2 linked regions of the Tribolium castaneum genome follow. The protein of the gene in region 2 interacts with the protein of the main gene of each other region in a pairwise test. Links are inferred from orthologs where the notes say so. Each region holds a gene or a part of one and is shown on either strand. Other genes may lie near its edges.

The links.
Region 1: the proteins of ck (region 2) and Cad99C interact in binary tests that used the Drosophila melanogaster proteins (3 or more experiments, as listed by UniProt). The link is inferred for Tribolium castaneum from reciprocal best matches to the Drosophila melanogaster genes ck and Cad99C.

Annotation. Positions count from the first base shown.
Region 1 is NC_087400.1:3,731,922-3,741,981, forward strand, and holds the end of Cad99C (cadherin-99C), read right to left. Parts: intron 7,517-10,060; coding exon 7,451-7,516; intron 7,374-7,450; coding exon 7,195-7,373; intron 6,632-7,194; coding exon 6,509-6,631; intron 6,459-6,508; coding exon 6,210-6,458; intron 6,158-6,209; coding exon 6,008-6,157; intron 5,959-6,007; coding exon 5,740-5,958; intron 5,385-5,739; coding exon 5,190-5,384; intron 5,138-5,189; coding exon 4,532-5,137; intron 3,853-4,531; coding exon 3,712-3,852; intron 3,661-3,711; coding exon 3,376-3,660; intron 3,107-3,375; coding exon 2,933-3,106; intron 2,884-2,932; coding exon 2,425-2,883; intron 2,378-2,424; coding exon 2,128-2,377; intron 2,078-2,127; coding exon 769-2,077; intron 721-768; coding exon 594-720; 3' UTR 493-593; downstream 1-492. UniProt on the Drosophila melanogaster protein: Cadherin that functions in epithelial morphogenesis and the intestine epithelial immune response. Essential for female fertility. Regulates the length and organization of apical microvilli in developing follicle cells and salivary glands.
Region 2 is NC_087398.1:4,867,076-4,877,135, reverse strand, and holds the start of ck (myosin-VIIa), read right to left. Parts: upstream 8,632-10,060; 5' UTR 8,157-8,631; intron 4,229-8,156; exon of another isoform or gene 4,078-4,228; intron 4,024-4,077; 5' UTR 4,003-4,023; coding exon 3,985-4,002; intron 3,921-3,984; exon of another isoform or gene 3,819-3,920; intron 2,620-3,818; coding exon 2,359-2,619; intron 2,310-2,358; coding exon 1,746-2,309; intron 1,698-1,745; coding exon 1-1,697. UniProt on the Drosophila melanogaster protein: Myosins are actin-based motor molecules with ATPase activity. Unconventional myosins serve in intracellular movements: can function in cells as a single-molecule cargo transporter.

The sequences.
Region 1 (10,060 bases), on a different chromosome or scaffold from region 2:
GATTTGGTTCCCCTTGAAATGTTTTGGTTTGGTGTTTTGTGAGTCCTATCGGATTATTTTGGTCTTCCTTAGTCAAAATTTAAGCTTAGTTTGGTAATTAATGGTTTGGTTTGTCCAATGGATGTTTGAAAAAGTAAGATATATTTTTTGGCAACATCCAATATCTCGGAAAGTACTTCTCGTAGAACAATCACGCTTACAGATTTGGAATCCGCGAGAGAAACACTCAATTTGACAAAAAAATTGCTTCTAAAATAATCAATTTTTAATTTTTGCCATCAGAATGACCCGATCTGAAACCCCTTGAAATGTTTTAGTTTAGTATTTTATGACACTTGATGGGTCTTTTCCAAGTATTTCGACCCTCCTTATTCCAAATATGAGCCCAGTTTTGCAGTTTAAGGTTCGGTTCATCCAATGGACCCTTAAAAAATTGAGATATAGGTTTTTTGGCAACCTATAATATCTCGTAAGAGCTTAGGAATTTGTAAATTAAATAAAAAACATTTATTAAAATATAAAATTACAATCAGATTACATTCCTAGAACCTCATAATTACATTAAATTAATCAGTTATTCCATTTACATTTATCTACAACTCGGTGGTCGTCTCAACCGGCGAATGGTCGTACGAGAACCCCAAATGCGAGTAGTCCTTCTTCTCTTTAAACATCACATTGTCATTACTCGGACTGGCGTTCATTTCGTCATCGTCCGACCTTAAACCGAAAAACCTACAACCAAGGTACCACCAAAGTACCACCTACCTATACTTCAACACGTGCCCTTCTCCCACACTGGACGCCCTCACAGTGGTCGCAGACTCGCTACTGACCGGACTTTGCCCCCCGTACTTCTTCAAATTATTGTCCTTACTGATATAACTTACATTGTCAAGACTGAAGGCGTGGTTCTTGTTACTAAAATCGAGGTGCAGGTCGTTGTAGTCGTCTTGTTCGTCCACAGGAACGCACATTTGTAACACTTGTGTTTCGTACTCTTTCAAGTTCGGCTCAACATAAACAGTGTCGTACCTTGTGGGACTTGCTGGTACTACATACTGTCTTTGCATTTGGTCTTTGTAGGACTTGTACCTCGACCAAGACACGCAAATATAAATAATCCCAACGATTCCAAGGACGAAAATAATGCACGCGATGATGATCAAAGCGTACGGAAACACCTCACCGTTGAAGGAAGCTATGGAGGCACTTTTAATTTTTTGTAGTACCAAAGGTTCGTGTATGTGGAAGGCAGTGTTCTGGATCTGGCCTGTTATATCAAACGTTATGTTATCCATGGCTTGTTTGTCGAAAATCGCGCGTTTGACTAGAGTACTATTCCGTGGGAGAATTTTTTCGGTAGTTGGATCAATGACATAGAACCAAACGTCGGTACCTGAAGGATCAGTCTCGAGAGTACCATTGGTACCAATAAACTCTCTCGTGGCCAGTTTTTCCACCCCAACTATTAAACCCGTCTGTTCTTGCATTATGTCGATAATCAAGGGTAGTTTTTTCTGGACTATGTCAGGTTTAGCGTCTCCGATCACTAGTACCAAGCGATTGTCTTTTGTTATCAAATTAACAATAAAGGGTGCTTTGATTTCGTTGTATTCAGTGGCGTTCGGGTTATCACGTGTTTTGACAATCAATTTAAATGGTAATTCACTATTATCAACATCGTCAAAAGTCTTCCTGGTCTTGACAATGCCGGTACTTGAATCTATAGTGAAGTACTCGGTTTTGTCGAGCGAAAACTCCAACTTTCCGTACTTTCCACTGTCTTTATCGTCAGCCTTGATTTGCGTTACTGTTGTCGAAAGAGGAGAATTGTCAGTGATAGCGGCGTGGTACTTGTGGGTACCACCAGAGGGGAAAATGAAATAAGGGACATTGTCATTAACATCGACCACATTAATGGTCACTAGAGTGATACTGAACTCCTTATTAATGAACCCTTGGAGTGACATGATTTGGACTTCAAGTTGGTACGACTCGTCTGTTTCAAAATCGATGGTACCATTCAAATAAAGGGCGCAATTCCTGTCTTCGGTCACATTGACAATGAATTTCCCTACAATTTTTTAGTCAAAAACCTAATTACAAAAAAGGTACCACCGGTACTTTGCTCATTTCCCGAAATAATGAGACACTTGAGTGGGATATTGCCACCATGGGTGCGACTATTAACAATGGTCAGTGTTTTAACTTTGGTACCACTTGTCGCATTTTCGGGTACTTGCACATGGTACGACGTATCGGCAAATTTCAAACCAACTTCAGGAGCGACCGTTGCCACATGTTGGATGTAAATATCCAAAGTGATAACTGATGATAATTGTGGTTCCCCTAAATCATAGGCACGGACGTCCACCTAAAAAACACAATTGAGCGATTTTTGGCACCACTTGGTGGTGGTACCTGATATTCCGTATCAATTTCTTTCTTGAGATCGTTGGTTACTTTTAAAATTCCTGTATCAGAGTCAATTTGGAAGTACTTGGTGGCCTTGCCACGTCCTATAATCTCGTACCGAACCTTATTCCCGGGTGCGGTACCATCGGAGTCCGTCGCCACTAAATTAGTGACAGGAGTACCAATCGCCACGTCATCATCAAGAGTGATTGGGTGCGGTATGATGGTAAAAACCGGCGGTATATCATTCCTGTCCTCGACATTGATAATCACTTTGGTGGTACTACCTTCCTCATTCGACATATTTTCGAGAGTACCAATGGTAAGGACATGTTGACTGTCTTTCTCGTAGTCCAAACCACGTATTGTATAAACAGCACCACTGTTTTCGTCAATACGGAAAAGGTCAGTTGGACCTTGATGGATGACATAGGTGATTTTTTTTATAGTGTCGGGGTCTTCAGCCTGGAAGTATAGTACTTGGAGAGTACTGTAATGATCTGGAGGTGAGTACCTTAACGTCGGTGATGAAATAATCGGGAATGTTTTCGGGTACTGACGCTGTGTATAACGATTTTGTGAAAATTGGAAGTTCGTCTTCAATGTCTATGACGGAGATGGAGACAGTGGCGGTGGCTAGACGTGGGTCAGGGGCGCCATCTTTGGCCGTCACCACAAACTGGTAGTTCTGCAATGGTACCAGTTTTTTAACTATTCTACTAGATCTATCACGATTGTACTAGAAAATATCAATCGTGTTTTATAACTAGTGTTCTACTACCACATATAGTACCTACTTGGTACTTCTGTAAAAAAGCTATAATACGATAGTTTGTAGTAGGTACTACAAAGTTATCTATTTTGGTTTAGGATTTGTGTTCTAGTAACCTAATGTACTTCTGAATTAAAATATTACAATAGTACCAAATAATAGGTACCATAGTTTGATGGTGGTACCTTTTGTGTTTCGTAATCCAGGGCTCGGTTAGTCCTTATCTCGCCGGTCTCGTTATCAATATCAAAGGGCAAACCAGAGGGAATAGAGTACGTAACAAGGGCATTAATACCCTCATCGGCATCCGTAGCCTTTACAAACCCTACCGAGGTACTATTTAGCCCTTCTTTCACCGAAAAATTGTACGGATCGCCCACAAATTCGGGATTCTTGTCATTTATATCAGTCACCTTGATATTAACAGTAGCTGTTGATGATAATTTACCCGCATCTTCAGCCTTAATAATCTGAAAAGTACCAAATAGTGAAAAATATCAAAAAAAAAACAAAAAACCTACAAGTTTGTATCTAGTCAAGTCCTCACGATCCAATTTTCGGATAACTGTGATCACACCTGATTTGGCACCAATTGAAAATTGTCTCAGATCGTTTCCTGAGACTATGGAGTAGGTCACAGGGTCGTTTTCGGGGTCCATGGCCTAAAAAAATGACCATTAAAGTGACCAGATTTTGGTCCACTTGAAATGTTTTGGTATCGTATCCATGCGTCCTAGCGGACTGTTTTGAACTTCTTGGGCCCGAATATGCCAATGATTTTGCAATTTGGGCCTTAATTCGTCCAATGGACTCACTCAAAAAAACTATATCTCGGAAAGTACTAATCATAGCTAAATTTTGTATAAAAGATTTGGAATCCTGGCACTATTTAGAATTTTGTTAACACAAATTTAACTGCGATTTTGCTATTTGGGCTGTAATAAGCTTGCTCAAAAATTTTCAAAGGTAGTACCATATCTTAAAAAATACTAAACGTAGCAAAATTTAATATCCAAGTTTGAAATCTTGGCAAAATTTCTATTTTAAGTTTCGTGAATTAGAATATAAGAGAGATTTTGCAATTTGGGCCTTAATTCGAGCAATGGACTTACTCAAAAAAAATCTATATCTCATACTACTAACCGTAGCAAAATTTCGTTTACAGATTTGGGATCCTGGTACTATTTGGGCTTCGTAAACCCAAAAATAACAATAATTTTGCAATTTGGGTCTTAATTCGTCCAAAATTTTTTTTCAAAAATTTTGCAATATCTCAAAAAGTACTCATTGTATCAAAATTCCGTTTACAGATTTGGAATCCTGGTAAAATTCCGCACTTACCGTAATTGTGGCCACAGTCGAGTTAATCGTAGCCCCTTCGCTGACCTCAATTTCGTAAACCGACTGTTCAAAAATGGGACTTTGTGTATTAGGTCCTGGACTTATGGTCACTTCAACGATGGCTTGTGAATAAAGCCCTCCTTTATCAGTGGCTTGAACAGTCAAACTGTACTGATCCCCTGCATTTAATTTCCCCACCGTCTCAAGTACCCCCGTATTGGGGTCAATCCGGAACTTGTTATTTCCATTATTCGAGACGTGATAAATTGAGTATGTAACTAATGCGTTATCGCCTTCATCATTATCTGTAGCTTTGATTGTGGCGACTTGGCGTTTCACATCCCCGGCGGGAACCCCCACTGGGGCTATAATAGGCAACATGGGGGCGTTATCATTGACATCGTTCAAGTGAACGGTCACAGACATGGGGGCACTTGCAGCGGTACCACCTTTTTCACGTGCAACAATCTGGAATTTAAAACGGCCAGGGTTTGGAGGATCACGGTCTAAATTGTTTTCGTTGACTAGCAAGTACCCCATTTTATCAATTGTGAAAAAAGGGGTCGTTAGTTCGAACGTGTAAGAGGGTTTGGGGTCATTTGGGCCCTAAAACAATTCAGGGAGTCAATTTTTTTGGTACCACTTTGATATAACTTACAAAATCCTTATCAGTCACTGATATGAGAAGTGGTACCCCTTCAGAGTCGAGTACTTTTTCCCCAATTGGGGAATTTTCGTTGACATAGCCTTCGGTTGATGACAATTCTATTTCAGGAGGATTTGCATCGACTGGTTTAACAGTAATGAAAAGTTTCGCTGTTGTTGAACGTTTTGCTTCGGATATTTCTTGTGCCTGAGGAAAAATCAAAGTTTGACCCAGTTTTGTGCTTGTAATTGGGGGAAATTACGTGTAATAAGCTTCATATCGGGGAATAAAAACGCAAATATTGACGGCTTGAAATAAATTACAAGAGTAATTAAGATGCACGCAAAGTTGGCCGAAAAAATGCGATCACATATGCTTTAATGCAACTTTCAATAAGGATTTTTGCTATAAGTACCAAACAGTGGTACCAAAACTAAAAATTATGTATACTATTGGAAAACACTAAATTCTGGCCGAAACATAGGTATATCAAAGAATTTTGTTAAAAAAAAAACAAAATTGTGGTACTACTAAGTTTGGTACCATTTGAAACAATGCCCACCTTGATTATGATGTTGAATTGTTTGGTGGTTGAAGTGTCCACGGCTTTGATTTGCCTCACGGCACCCGTTTCCGAATCAATTTGAAAGTACTCAGAGTACGATTCAGGAGTACCACTCACAAACGAGTAGTGAATGGGCGAATTGATCGTATCCATGTCCACCGCTTGGATTTTTTCGGGTGAAATATTAAGTATTCCGTGAAGAACCCCACTTGAAACCTATTACAAAAAAATTAAACAAAAAAAATTGCAAATAATTGAATGGTACCGAAGCTGAATATTCAGGATTGATGCAGGTACCATCCAAAAGCATGCACCCTTTGTATATGAAAGAAGGGTTCTGATCATCGTCATCTTTAATATTGACTACGAGTGTCGTTGTTGACGAAAGTCGTTGTGTGTCATCGTGCGCCCGGTCCTGGAACCCAAAATGGTACCAGTGGTACTACTCGCCAAAACTGGTTACTTACCGTCGCCACGACGGTGACGTAATATCTCTGCGTCTTCTCAAAGTCTAGAGTTCTATTAACCGTAACTTGACCCTGATGTGGTAAATTGATGGCAAAGTACCCGAAGCCATCTTCGCTGTGGATTCGATCGTCGTCCTCGTGCGCTAAATTCTCGCCTTTTACGATCGAATACTCGACTAAACCATTGACGCCGGCGTCTTTATCTTTGGCTAAAATGTCTTGGAAGATTGTGGTACCCACAGGTGTGAGCTACAACAAGTACCAGTAAGTGGTACCATTATTTTTTTTGCGATAATTACCTCCGATATACTCGTCTCGTACGGCGTGTTGACGAATTCTGGTGCATTATCGTTAATATCACTCAGTCTTACAATTACTGGTACAGTTCGTTTCTTGTGAGTCGATTTAATTGTGCAAATTAACTAAAAAGAGTACCACTTGGTAAATTATGCATAATTATTGTTATAATTGCCAGTAGTTTGCGTTCGAGAGTGATTTGCTCGTTTCAGTCAATGGCCCCGAAATGGTACCAAGTCGTACCTTAATTTTTTTTGAAAAATGTAACTAATTTTAGTAATAATATCAGCAAAAGAAGCAAATTGCTTGTTATTTTGACCTTCTCTCAGAAAATGTAGTACCAATATTTAACAAATATCACAATATAGCACTTTATTTGAAGGTGGTACCACTTTAATTACAGTGCTATAATGTGGTACTACTACCAAATTTAAAAAATAATTATATTTTTATATTTTTGTGGTGGTACCCAAATAATCAAATGTCACTCAACCCGCCCACACCTTCCGCTCTCTTAAAACCTTCGCATATTTGCTACACTTCACGCCAACCTTGAACAAATTTTTTCCTTTCTTCCTTAACCGCCGAACAATACTTTCTCGTTAATTTCTGTCACGAAACAAGCTTAAATAATCGCTCCCGTAACGGTAGTACCTTTCACTCTCTTTGCAAATTAACTGGGTACTACCTGAAAAACAATATGCGAGAGACTGTTTTCGTCTCGATCTAACGGCGCCAACAATTGCAGCTTTTTCCCATTGAGAAAAAAAAGCGCAGGCCCTTTGGGAAACGCCAAATCGAGGAAAATATCGACATTTGGCTCGCCAACAATTGGTAACTCTGCAGGAACGGTCTCTTGGCTAATTGCTGAAATGCGCAAAAATCAGATAAGCGTAACACTTGCAAAACCGCTGATTTGCACAAATTAATTGCAAAACACTCACATTTTCCGCGACTTTCTTCAATGTCCAGGATTATGTTCGATTGACCCGAGTCCACTTCACACAACCCTGAAACACAATTAATTAATTAGTGGCACGAACGAATCGATTACACTTCTTCACACACAACTAGCAAAGATGGAGGTGCGAAGCAACAAAATTGCAAAAATAAACTTCAATTTTCTGTTACAGAGCTTCGAAAATTCGGCTATTTACGTAAACATTATTAAACCAATCGCCAAATACTCGCTCTATCTCGGAATTTCGCCCTTTACGACCAAAAACGGGCAAATAGTACTATCACGTATCCGTCTAGTACCTAGTACCATTCTAGTACTCACTAACATCGCCCTTACTATCATCTACTCGACCAGTTTTGGCGAAACTAGCGACTTTACCAAAGCTGAAACCATTAAATTTTTGACAATGTTCCGCGACTTGGGCAGTACCACCATGATGGTACTCAACCTATTTTTTTCCCAAATGTACTTTACCAAAAAATTGGAACAAATGCGCCAAGTGCACGAGGTTGATAACCAATTGAAGCAAATGGGTTGTGACCTTGATATACCTAATTCTGTGGTCCAGAAACACTTAATACTACTCATGGTACTAGTTAATTTGATTTTTAACACTTGTGGCGAAGTGTTCAGTGCTTGGGTACGCTGCCAGGATCAAATATTGATCTTCCTGGTCAATTGGTACCCAAGACTTATCATCGGGATTATGAATAGTACCCTCAATTTGATATTTTTGCTAATACAGACTAGGTTTGAGATGATAAATAACATTATCACACGTGGGGATGTTACTAGTACCACTATCAAAAAACTGTTCAATCTGCACAAAATTTTGGTTAAGGTGGTTAGGGAAATCAATGGAATTTTCGCATTCCAGGTACTTATGTGTACCAGTATGAACTTCGTGTTGTTGATTGGTGATTTGCACACTTCTATCTACATCATTTTCTTTGATATGTTCTATCAACACCACAAAATCGTGCTTGATATGGGAAAAAACTGTGTTACTTATGTTTTCGATTTGTTCTATCTATCAAAACGAGCGAGTGATCTTTGCAACGAAGCTAATAAGACTAAAATACTACTTGTTGGTCTTAAAATTGATATTGATCAAGAGGAGGAACGCAATGTTGTAAGTACCACTATCAAAGTTTGATAATATGGTCCGTCATTTGTTTAGGTCGTCACTTCGGTACTTAAACTTATGCAAAATAAGCTCGAAATCACGGCTTGTCGCTTGTTTAGCATTGATAATGCGCTACTTTTTTCGGTACTTTCCAACTTTTGATAATTGATAATTCAATAACAGGTTTTAGATATGCGGAGCTGCCTCCTCCTACTTGTTCATAATGTTGCAACTCGATATTGGGAGCAAAACACAAGGCACAAACTCAACTCTTTATTGATACTTTCGGTATTTTATTATCAAACTGGAGCATCACACATATGTACGTGAAAACGGCACTACAAAGCTATCACTTTGATAATTATCAATCCTTGATTGTTGAAACCTTACCGAATGGAGTAACGAATAATTAATACTGAACATTCGTAATGCTGTTATTTCCAACTTGTTATTTGATAGTTTCAAGCCAGAAGCTACAATCTATCAAAGTTTGATAAAACGCACGATTATCAAAAAACTTACAAAATTTCGTTTTTCCTCGTCTTGAATATCAATCTCAAAGTCTAGTACTAGTTTTTTGGCTAAATTCGCCTAAAACACTATTGTGATAATTACAGTTATCAAATTGATAGTCGTACCTGGATACACAACTCGCTACATCTCCTAGTCAAGTAGAATAGTTCTATTATGTTTTGTAATGCGTTTTTGAGTGCAATAAAGACAAAAATCCCTTTATTGGTTTCAAAAAGGGCAACTGTGATACCGGTGTATAAATCTAGTACCGTTTGGGCGAAATAAAAGGTCACAGTTATCAAAATCTGGAGGTCAAACATCGAATTCAAAATTTTGACCAAACGTTGTAGTTTCAAGTGACACGAGACCAAGTGCCAAAGTATGGTCTTGTTCCCCTTTTGGAACAGTTCGTTTATCAATTCGAAGCGTTTCTGGACTATCAAAGTCTGTATCAAAAAATATGTTAAAAAGGTTGTACTAAAAAGACGAGAGTACTGAAGAACGACGAACGAAGCGAAAAAATCGTTTCTTTCGAGCAAGATATGGGTCACAATTTCAGATGATAGGTTTAGGGCAAAAATTTCAATGAGGATTAGGACAGTTAAGGTTTTTTTGTGTCTCTGGGCCAGGTTTGACAGGCGTTCTTTCAGCCCTAGAGCCTCTAACTTGTTATCAATTTCTGATAGTTTTTGGCGAATCAAAATCATTTTTCCATTTCGGAACAACATGAGGTACAAGATCGCCATCATGTTCAAACCCCAAAGAAACACACGTGTAAACACTACTAGTGTTATAGCACTAGCCCTAGCAACGTTCAAAAACTGATAATTCTTAATAAAACTACAAGTTGATATAAACCACACGGTTTGATATAGTACCACACGTAAAATTTTCAATTTTGAGTATATGAGACCTTTTGGCGTGACCTTGTAGACGTTGATACCTAAAATATCA
Region 2 (10,060 bases):
TTGCGCTGGGCTATCATTCGGCGCACGTGTGACTGTATTTTAATGATGGCCCACATTTTGTGGCCGTATTCCCGCCGCACGAGATAGCCCCGAGCGTGGGCTTGCAGCCCCACAATGTGACCCCGCAAATGCTGGAAGCGGTGCGAAAGCACCCGAGCCCTGATCAGTGCTTGCAGTCGCATGTAACCCACGCGCATCCGTTTGTACCTCTGTCTCTGGATGTAGCCCTTCCAGTACTTTTGTATTATCATGGTGGCCGCTTTGAGGCGCAGGAAGCGCCTCCGGTAGACCCAGCCCCGGATTGAGCGTTGCAAAATCAGGATTTTTTTCGTAAGGACTCTATCGCGTTCCTGCTCCAAAAATAAATCGTGGGCGTCCTTGAGAAACACTTTCGTGTGGCCGAGCTGGTAGTCCGAACGGCCCAAAACCGCGGCGCATATTTTGGCAGTGGCGGCCCGGCAGTCGGTTCGATGGGCCGGGGGAATCCCCGAGATTAGAAACCTGTATCGTTCGACAAACTCGCTGAAGCTGTGCCGGATCGGATAGCCGGCTCTTCGTATCCGGATTGTTTCCATCATGCCGGAGTAGCGTAACTGGCGACAGCACAAATTGCGGTCGAACATCATGGGTTTTTTAAATTCGTTTGGTTTGATACACCGTATGAAAAACGGTTGGCAGTTGGATAAGGTTCGCATAAGTGAGTCGAGACTTTTCTTGAATTGGGTTGAGAGTGTCGGGGTTCTTTTCCTGGTCTCCGACCCCATGCCAATGTCGTCGGCGAATATTTGTTGCAGGAATTTATTGTTAGAGATTGCCACTAGCTGGAGCAGGTCGGCACTGAAGGTGTCCCGGTTCTTCTCCAGGAAACTCCGCGTGTCGTAGAAGACGATCCCGGCGAAGTGGTTCAAACCGAAGCTTGTGTTGATGTCCGATTTCGGTTTGAGGTAGTTTCGGTGCGTTCCGTGTGTTTTGTGCAACTTGGCCAGCATGGTCTGGTCAGTGCCTTTCGGGAACTTGCTCTCTTCATCGATCAGCGCCATGATATTGAGTTGTTTGACCGCAATCAAGTCCAGCGAGTCCTGATTGTCCACGAATTCGATATGTTGCCAGTTGATCCCCTCGTTGTTGTACTCCTCCTGCTCCAATTTAAAGATATGCCTGACGAAAAACTGCTGGAGATTCTCGTTCGCGAAATTGATACAAAACTGTTCGAAACTATTATGATTAAAATTCTCAAACCCGAAAATGTCTAAAACACCGATCGAACTCCTCTGCCGTTCCTTCGGCCTGTATATTGCACTGTTGATTTTTTTGACTATGTGGACGAAGAGCCGCCCGTAGATGCCTTTAACGAAGGCGTCGCGGACGTCGACGCTCTGCTCGCGGGATAAGGTCGAGACTACGGTTTCCCCGTGGGCGAAGAGCGTTTTCCTGGTGAGGGCGTCGATGAGCGGCTGTGGGGGCACCCCCAGCAGGTGGGCAACGCGGTGGACGTTGGTCGGGTCCGGGATTTCCGTCGCGTCCAAGTTGTCCACCACCGTGGCTTTGTATTTAATGTTGCCAATGTGGAGGAGTGCGGCTAGGAGTTTCATTATTTCCCAGATCTCCGGGTCGGAGAAGAGGAGCACTTTCATGGCGCTGCGGATGTCGGCGAACTCGGCAGCGTCGTCCCGGCCCTCGCACGTTATACAACCGCCCTAAAAAATTAATAATAAATAAATAAACACAAAACAATAAGTGCGTACCCCCGTGAGATATCTAAATTGACTAGCATCGCCCAATTCGAGTTTCTTCTTCTCCTCCTTGCCCAGCCCGGCCAACAGGCAATAGAAAACGTGGTAGTTCCTCTCGTCCGGATTCTGGGACACAATCCGGCTTTTCTCGAGCAAGTACTGCTCGATTTTGGCACCTTCAATAACCCCGCTACTGTTGAAATGAATATCAATGTATTTGCCGAATCTTGAGCTGTTGTCGTTCCGGACTGTCTTCGCGTTACCGAAAGCTTCCAAAATGGGGTTAGCTTCCAGGATTTGTTGCTCAATCCAGGAATGTTTGCCGCTGATAGCCGCCAAGTACTGGAGAATCAACTTCGTGCTCTCTGTTTTACCGGCCCCTGACTCCCCAGAAATGACCACGCACTGGTCCTGGCCATAACGCCGCATGTTCCCGTAGCAGTTATCACCGATGGCGAAAATATGTGGGGGTAGTTCCCCGATTTTGCGCTCCTTGTACAGTTTTATCTGTTCGGCGGTGTAAATGGGGAGGACTTGGTACGGGTTGACGGCGACCAGAATCGAGCCAGTGTAAGTCTGGAAAAATAGTTTTTTCCGGCTATTTCTCGTTTTTTGGGAGGCTTACATAAATGAGATTTTCGTTGTATCTGATATGCAAGTTCCTGAGAATCCCGGCCTCGTGGAGGTCGCCCAGCCCGATCATGTCTTCGACCCCGTGGATGGACGTTGCGTGCATTGCCTTAATTCGGCGATCTGGAGACAGCCAGTGCTCCTCCCCGTCATCGTCCCGGACGGCGATCCTTCGCCCCTCGGCGGAGACCACCTTGGCACCGATGGCCACGTCGAATTCATTTCCAGAAATGGGCTCGATCCAGATGTAATCACCCTAGAATCACAATTCACACACCTGTTCAACGTGATTAAATTAATTGCAGGCTTGCTGCACGTTCCACGTAATTGCTGGGCTGGGATTTAATAAAAACCATTAGATAGAGACTTAATGATTAATAAATTCGGTGCCTCGCTGTGAGAACCTCGGTGACCTCTCAGGTTCAATAACTCGTACCGAATTCGAAAATTGACAATTTCCTAACGGTCACCTGCACCAGTTTCATCTCTGGTGATGATAATCAATGCATTTCCTCCGTGCCACGAGTGATTAATGGCGCGGAAGTTGGCTCTTATCGAAAAATATTTGAGAAATGTGCCAAGGGGTCAGAAAAACGGCGCAAAACCGTTCGTGCTGTTGGTATGAGGAGCACGTAAGTGTGCCCGTTTCGACTCTTCTTGAAGAGTTTCAAGGACCGGAAGAATTGAAAGTTGGTTAAGAAAACAGCTGCAATGACCATTCTTCACTTCAATGAACAAAGAAACTTGATTGAGCAAAGCGGAATTGCAACGTCACGGGTTCGCCAGTGGCGTGTTTGAACGCCAAATTAGGGACAAGTCGGGACTTGAACGTAATCACACGGTTCTTCCTTTAGTTTTTAACACTCCCTGATAAATAAAACTCTTTAATTTGTCATTTGTGTTTTATTTTACTTAGAATACGTTTTATTTTTAGAATTACAGTGAGATTACGAGTAGATTTATCGGAGGCTTATCTAAAAATTTAAACAATTTGAAGATCCAAGCATTGTTGACATGATAAAACCCGTTAATCATTAGGTGTGTTCGACACTGTAACGCAACACAATAATGCTGTCATAGTCAGCCATAAATTAATTTTACAGACATCACCACACTCGTAAATTTTCAAAATTTTATGGCTCCGTCTGAATAATAATGCTTTTCCTCGAGTTCCGCCTTTAGGTCCGGTTTAAATATCATTTCCTAATAAATTTTGAGCCCGCCACTGTGTGCCCGACGTCTCAATCCAATCGAGAAGTGTGTCCAAACAAATCAAATCCTTGTTTGCGATTGCCCAACCTTGACAGTGCGGTTTTTGCAAAAAAGTGACCCCAATCTAGGCCACAGCGGCCCATCGGTCACTCTCTAAATTATGCAAACAATACAAGAGAGGAAATCGGATACAGGAAGTGAGTCTTCATGGTTTGATGGTCGTGGTATCGGGGAGATACGTACTATATGAAACTTTTGTCTCTTTGTGGCACTTCCGGAGGTTTTCGCCCCTTTAATCGGGGTATCAATGGCCGATAAACGCCAAGTCTAGACGAGTCATCGCGACTTTCGCCAGGAGAGAAACTCCAGTAAAAACAATAATTATTATTAATAAAACGAAACCACTTACCCGTGTCACTATAACCATGGTGGCGACGCATCAATGTTCCTGCAACGAAACCTTTTGTTAATTTAATTGAATTCATCGTGTGATAAGAGGCACATTTTAGCGATTTTGATCGATTGACGAACGGTCGATAGCGCAAGAAAGTCAATTAATAGTTGAATTATCGTTACGACATTTTGCAAAACCGGCTTTTGTGTCCATAATCCAAGGCTTTCGACTGGTGCATTGTTGCAAACGCGACTTTCGGTTTCTCGATGGGAAAAGTGGCGGAAAATGGAGCGAATCGCGTGTTTTTTGCAAAATTACATCCAACTACAATATTGTAATTTGTCAACCTTGGCTCATCCTTCGACAAGAAAATTGCATTTGGCGGAAATAACAGGGAGATAAAGCCACCATTAGGGCTTTTTGTTTTTGAGTAATTCGGTTTGGTAGAAATGTACCGTTTTTACGCCTACTTGGCGCTGTGAAGGCCACGTTTTGTTCGGTTTTCTAACAATAGTAGATTCTTTCACTTGTTTTTTGTCTAATGTTCACTCTTTATTTATTTGTCCTCAAGTTTTTTCATACTGAGAAGCTTGTGTAAATGTGGTAGACGTAATCGATTGCTCACGATTATTTATGGTCATGTACAGGGTGATTCAGCGATAAGCGATTTAAATTAAGTAAAAAATACTTTTGATTCAAAATTTTTATTCAGGGAATAGACATATGACATAATATAAGTCAACAAATATCGATTAAATTGCAAATTTGGCCTTGAAACGCCCACAATTGGCAACGACCTCAAGCCCCCTGCAATTATTTTTATCAAATTTAGGTAAACCTCGAGTGAAAGTTGATTAGAAGGTAATGGCTCCATTCATACTCATATTTCACATCAAAGATGATTGAGGCCACCACTTGCGTCAAGGCAAAATTAGGGGCATTTTTGATTACGAACGATTTTTTTCCGATTTATTTGTAAATAAATAGTCCGAAAGCTGACTCATCTTGTACATTATTCTTTTATGAAGAAACATAGCGTACAATGTCAAGGTTGCCGAGTCTACGACCTTTGATCTAGACGGCTATACATCGCGAAAGATCAAGCAAGCCACGCGGCATCTCCACGCCTACTTTTTTCTACTTTCTACTTTAACACACTGTACACTGATCCACATTTCATTGCATACAATGGCTCATCTCTCGCGAAAAAAAGGAAAATTCTCATTGTTCCATTCATTAAAAAATGCTTAGATATGGAAAACGTGTAATGTTTACGTAAGGTACAATCTGGAGTAGTGTGTTTCGGTTTCATTGTTAATTTTGGACAGCGTGAGAGATGAGCGGTTTAGACACCGTTTTCGATTAACATCGACATAATTAAATTAAGGTCACAAATGAACAATTGACGAAAGTCGAATCATAACGGTCATCCAGCACCACTCTGTATATAGTGCGTTCGCTGGCATATGGCTTCCGCGAAAATTCGCAATGCAGTTGGGAAATTTCGTCTGCAAAGTTGGCGATTTATACAGAGAGTGTCAAAAAGAAAGGTTCAAAATGGGTCGAAATTTACATTCGAAAGGATTGTAATTCACACAAATTGCAAAATTTTGACACTTTCTCCACTTTTATTCAAATCAAACAACAATTTCGTGCATGTTTTCCCCAGCGATGAGAGAATTTTCCTAAAATAAGAAATGCATCAAGTCGCGGTGACCTTTAAATGTCAAATTAACACAGCCAACTAATAAAGCGTATTGACGAGTGACGCTTAATTAACTGTGTCTATAAAAATTTATTTCTTGTCATGGTGACGGTCAAGGAATGGCAAAAATGCTGTTGAAGTGTTAAGTTTTTAAACCAATTTACCATTTTCTTATCAGAGGTGTCTCATTTCATCATTAAAACTTTACAGTTAATTTACAAGTTTACAACAATAACGTTACATTTATTACGATGTTTCGTCAGGTGGCGATATGGTTCCATTTTTTGTCAAGGAAATCACAGACTACAATATCCTACTTATAGAATAAGAGAGAAATCTCGTGTCTAGTAGATTATAAGAAAATTTATCAACTCCAATAATAATTTAAATTTGCAATGTAAAACGGACTTTCTATACACTTTATTTATATTTGTTTGTATCAATGGAGCTTGTGTCTCGTGGCTGTTGATAAGCGCAAATTGTGACATTCTAGAAGTATTGTGAAAGTCGGGAACTTTAAAAATCTTCTGCAATTAATTTATAGGCACGGTAGGTATAGTCTCAGTTAGCTATGAGCTGATTAACTTAATTAGATTGTCACCGGCAAATAACAGAAATATCTTCTGCTACATTCCGTTTCAATTTAATAAACGACACGAGAATGATTTTAAATACAAAAATTCGTTCACATTATCAATTATCCAAGTTCTGTTTTTCGTAACTGTCAGAAATTATCATAATAAGATCAGCCCACCCGTGGAAAAGTGACAGCTGCCTACTATGACCTGTTTCTTTTTTAAAAATGCGCTGGTGCTTTGGATGGGATAGGTATGTCAAAAGAAATTCCACAGCCTTCTTTTGTTTTTTTAACATTTAATTAAAAGTCAATAATTAACTGACACAATAAAATGAAGAAATCAATAGGAAAATAGGTATTAAAATAAATCTTTTTTTTGTTTCTTGTATTATATTTTTTGGTGTTTTCTGTGCACTTTTACAATTTCTTATAAGGGTATATTTTTTCTAATTCCAATAAATGCCTAGCCTTTAATCAGTAATGCCGTTACATATTTTTGAAGAAGTTAAGTACTGTAATAATAATTATACAAATTATTTCCCAAAATTAGATAATATTAATTCATTCATTTATTACTAATCTATCATTATATTATAATTATCTATACTGCCAAAAACGCCAGAAATTGATAAAAAATTTTTTGAAGAAATTGTATCCGTTGTCCACGGTCATTAGGACTCATAACTTTTTTTATTTTTTTTTATTTCGGTGTTTTTTGTTGTTGTGTATTCTTTCGTTTTAGGATTCGAAGCCTTTTTGGATCATTTTGACGGAGCTGTCACTTGGATACGGCATTCAAAATTTAAATTAAGCGGCACATTACGCTCAAATTTCATAGGTGACTTGATGAACAACCATTTTTGAATATAATAACTACTATAACTAACACCCAAAAAAACTATTTCTATCCACATTGTAAAACGATATTTTAACATTGTTTTGTGCAAAAAATACATAAAAAAATATCGCTAGATCCAGATTTATTTACTCAAATTCAATTCGCGATTACTTTGACCCTTGTCAAGTAATCTACATTTTTTATTATTTGTTATTATAGTCCCAGTACAGGGAAAAAATGAAATAGTCCTTTTTTAACACACGGTTTAAGATGCAAGGCCACACCTTCGCCATTTCTTTTGATGGTGAGTGTACACCGTAATGAGTTTTCTCATTTCTTGTTTATTTTGTCTTAAAGTAGTACCAATGTGTTTTTATTTTTTATTTTGTTTTGTACTTTTATTGTTTGGGTTAAATTTAATCCATCCTTTCTTATTATTTAATCTAAACTGGAAAAACACGTAAGGAAGCACTAAAAAATGAAGTACCACGAAGAATGGTACTAATAAAAGCCATTGTTGTGCCAATGATTGTCACGGTGTTAATACAAACAATTTCGATGGTAATTATCTCCGCGAAGCGATTAATGTCCTATTGGCGTTTATTTAGCAGAAATTTGACTGGAATGGCAACAGTGGGTTCAGGTAAATTACCTGTGGCTCACGCTAGGTAAAGTAGGCGTATCGAACCCCGGCAAATTCCTTGCCCAAATTACCCGGATCTGCCCCGTCCACGTGACCGCTTACAAAACAGCTTACTGTACATACAGTAATTGTTTGCATTAAACAATGATAAACCATATAGATAACAGTATTTACAAGACACGGCGTCCAAGAAGAGAATAGCGGAATGTGTGTGGACTTAAGGCAAAGTACCGGTAAATCCGAAGAATGTCTAACATCTCATCATAAAAAACTTGTTATCTGAGCCGACACCTGTTCCCAATCCCTAAGCCATCGGATTTCCATCGCGAACTCGCTTTCCTCGACTTCTTTCCGGAGGATGGTAGAGCGTGAAGATGCCTCTGGCCGTAAAGAAGCGCGACGTGGAAAGAAGTTGGGACTTTACCTGGGTTTTACAATGTAATCCTTAACATAATGTTGGGTAATTTGAAGAGGACACACAACGCGACACTAACACCTCATCAGGTCCCGGTACTAACGTTCCGCCGCACTCAACTATCACCAAATGGTCAAGTTTCTGTTACTTTAATTGCTTGCGCCCAGGTGAGGCAGCGCCATCGACGGACAGGTGTGGAAGTTGAGGAGGAGGCAGGTGACTGTAGAGGGCACCACGGGCAATGTCACGGGTTCGACTACCTCAATGACGATGTGAGTCATCCTCCACTCAAAATTTTGAGTCAATTTGAAGTTTGAGTAATGGTTGGGGGGCTCTATGCTTTGTTTAATTATCGCCCAGTCGGAGAAACTCCAACCGGGCCTCAAAAAATTGTCATAGACTCATTTGTATTGTCCCACTCCACGGAAATCTTTAGTAAAAGGCGAAAGATTTATTCGCTTTGAAGTGAGACCAGAGTGGGGAAAAATTTGGCTGATGGGATACTTATGTCAGGGAGGCGGTTAGGAAGTCGGGACTTCTAATAGGTCGCACCCTCTAACGATGTGCGCTCAAACTATTAGATAACGGCGAACAGATAAGTGTTCGAAAAAAGTTAAGGATTTTATTGATTGAAGATGAATGTATTAAAACTTTTTTCGGTCAGTTTAACATTAATTCTAATGAATGTAGTAACAATGTTTAAATCCACAACTAATATTATGCCCAGTTTTGAACTATAATGAACTATTTTATTAGAATTGTGCCTGTTTTTCAACGCTTTGTCTTTTTTACGTCTTTTCTCTTTGTTCACTAAATTTCCATTTTTAAAAAATGTTTCTTTACTTTGTGATCTTTGATAAAAATTATCGCCCACTCAGAGAAAGTTCAACCGGACCTCAAAAATTGTTAAACCCAAAAAGTTGCATTGTAAAATGCGAATAAAAGATTTATTCGACGATAATTTAGCAAAAAGTTGGACTCTAATTACGACTCAGTCTCAAATTATTGAGAATTTCGTAAAATTCCAACGGATAACTGTAAAGTGATAAAGATTATATCTAATGTTGCAATTTTCGTTTTTATTTATGCGATTTTTACTTGTATGGCAACGTTAATTCATTAGGTAACAGTTAATCAAACTGAAGAGTTAAAAAATTGAATAAATAAATAAATTTACCCTACTTTACCTATTTGTTGTCTAATTTCAAACAATTACAATATACATACGGCATATCTCTTCATTGTTGTAATGTTTTATGGCATGTTTCAATAAATAATTTCAATAAATTTCGTTTTTATGTTTTGTCCTTACATCATCTACTTTTTTTTAGCAAAGTTACTGCAACAGGATTTTTTTTCACTGACTTATACAGGGTGTCTCAAAATTTATTCTTATTTAAATGCAGGCTAAAAGTTTCAGTGTTTATTGTTATTTATGGTGCAGATGATAGTGAAGAATAATAATGAATAATTTCTCAAAAATTAGCTTTATTTTGGGGTAAAAAAAATCTAAAATTTTTGTAATTTAATGTCGTTTTATTTTTAAGAAAAATTACAAAAAATAGTATTTTTTTATTTTAAAATAAAGCTAATTTTTCGAGAAATTATTGTACACTCTAATTTTCCACCATGCATAACAATAAACACTGAACTTTTTAGCTAAGCGTTTGAAGAAAACGCAATTCAAATTGTGGGGAAGCCCCGAGATGATCAAATTTAATCTTTAAAAATTAACTGAATGGAAATTTTAAATGATAATAGAAAAAAAAATGGGTCAAAGACAAGAGGAACCTGAAAACTATTTTCAGTACATTTTTTTAATCGTATAAAATTTTTTTTTTCAATTTCAAAATTAAAATATGGAATATTCGAAAAAAAAACTAAAAAACGTCTGAATTTACTTATAACGTAAT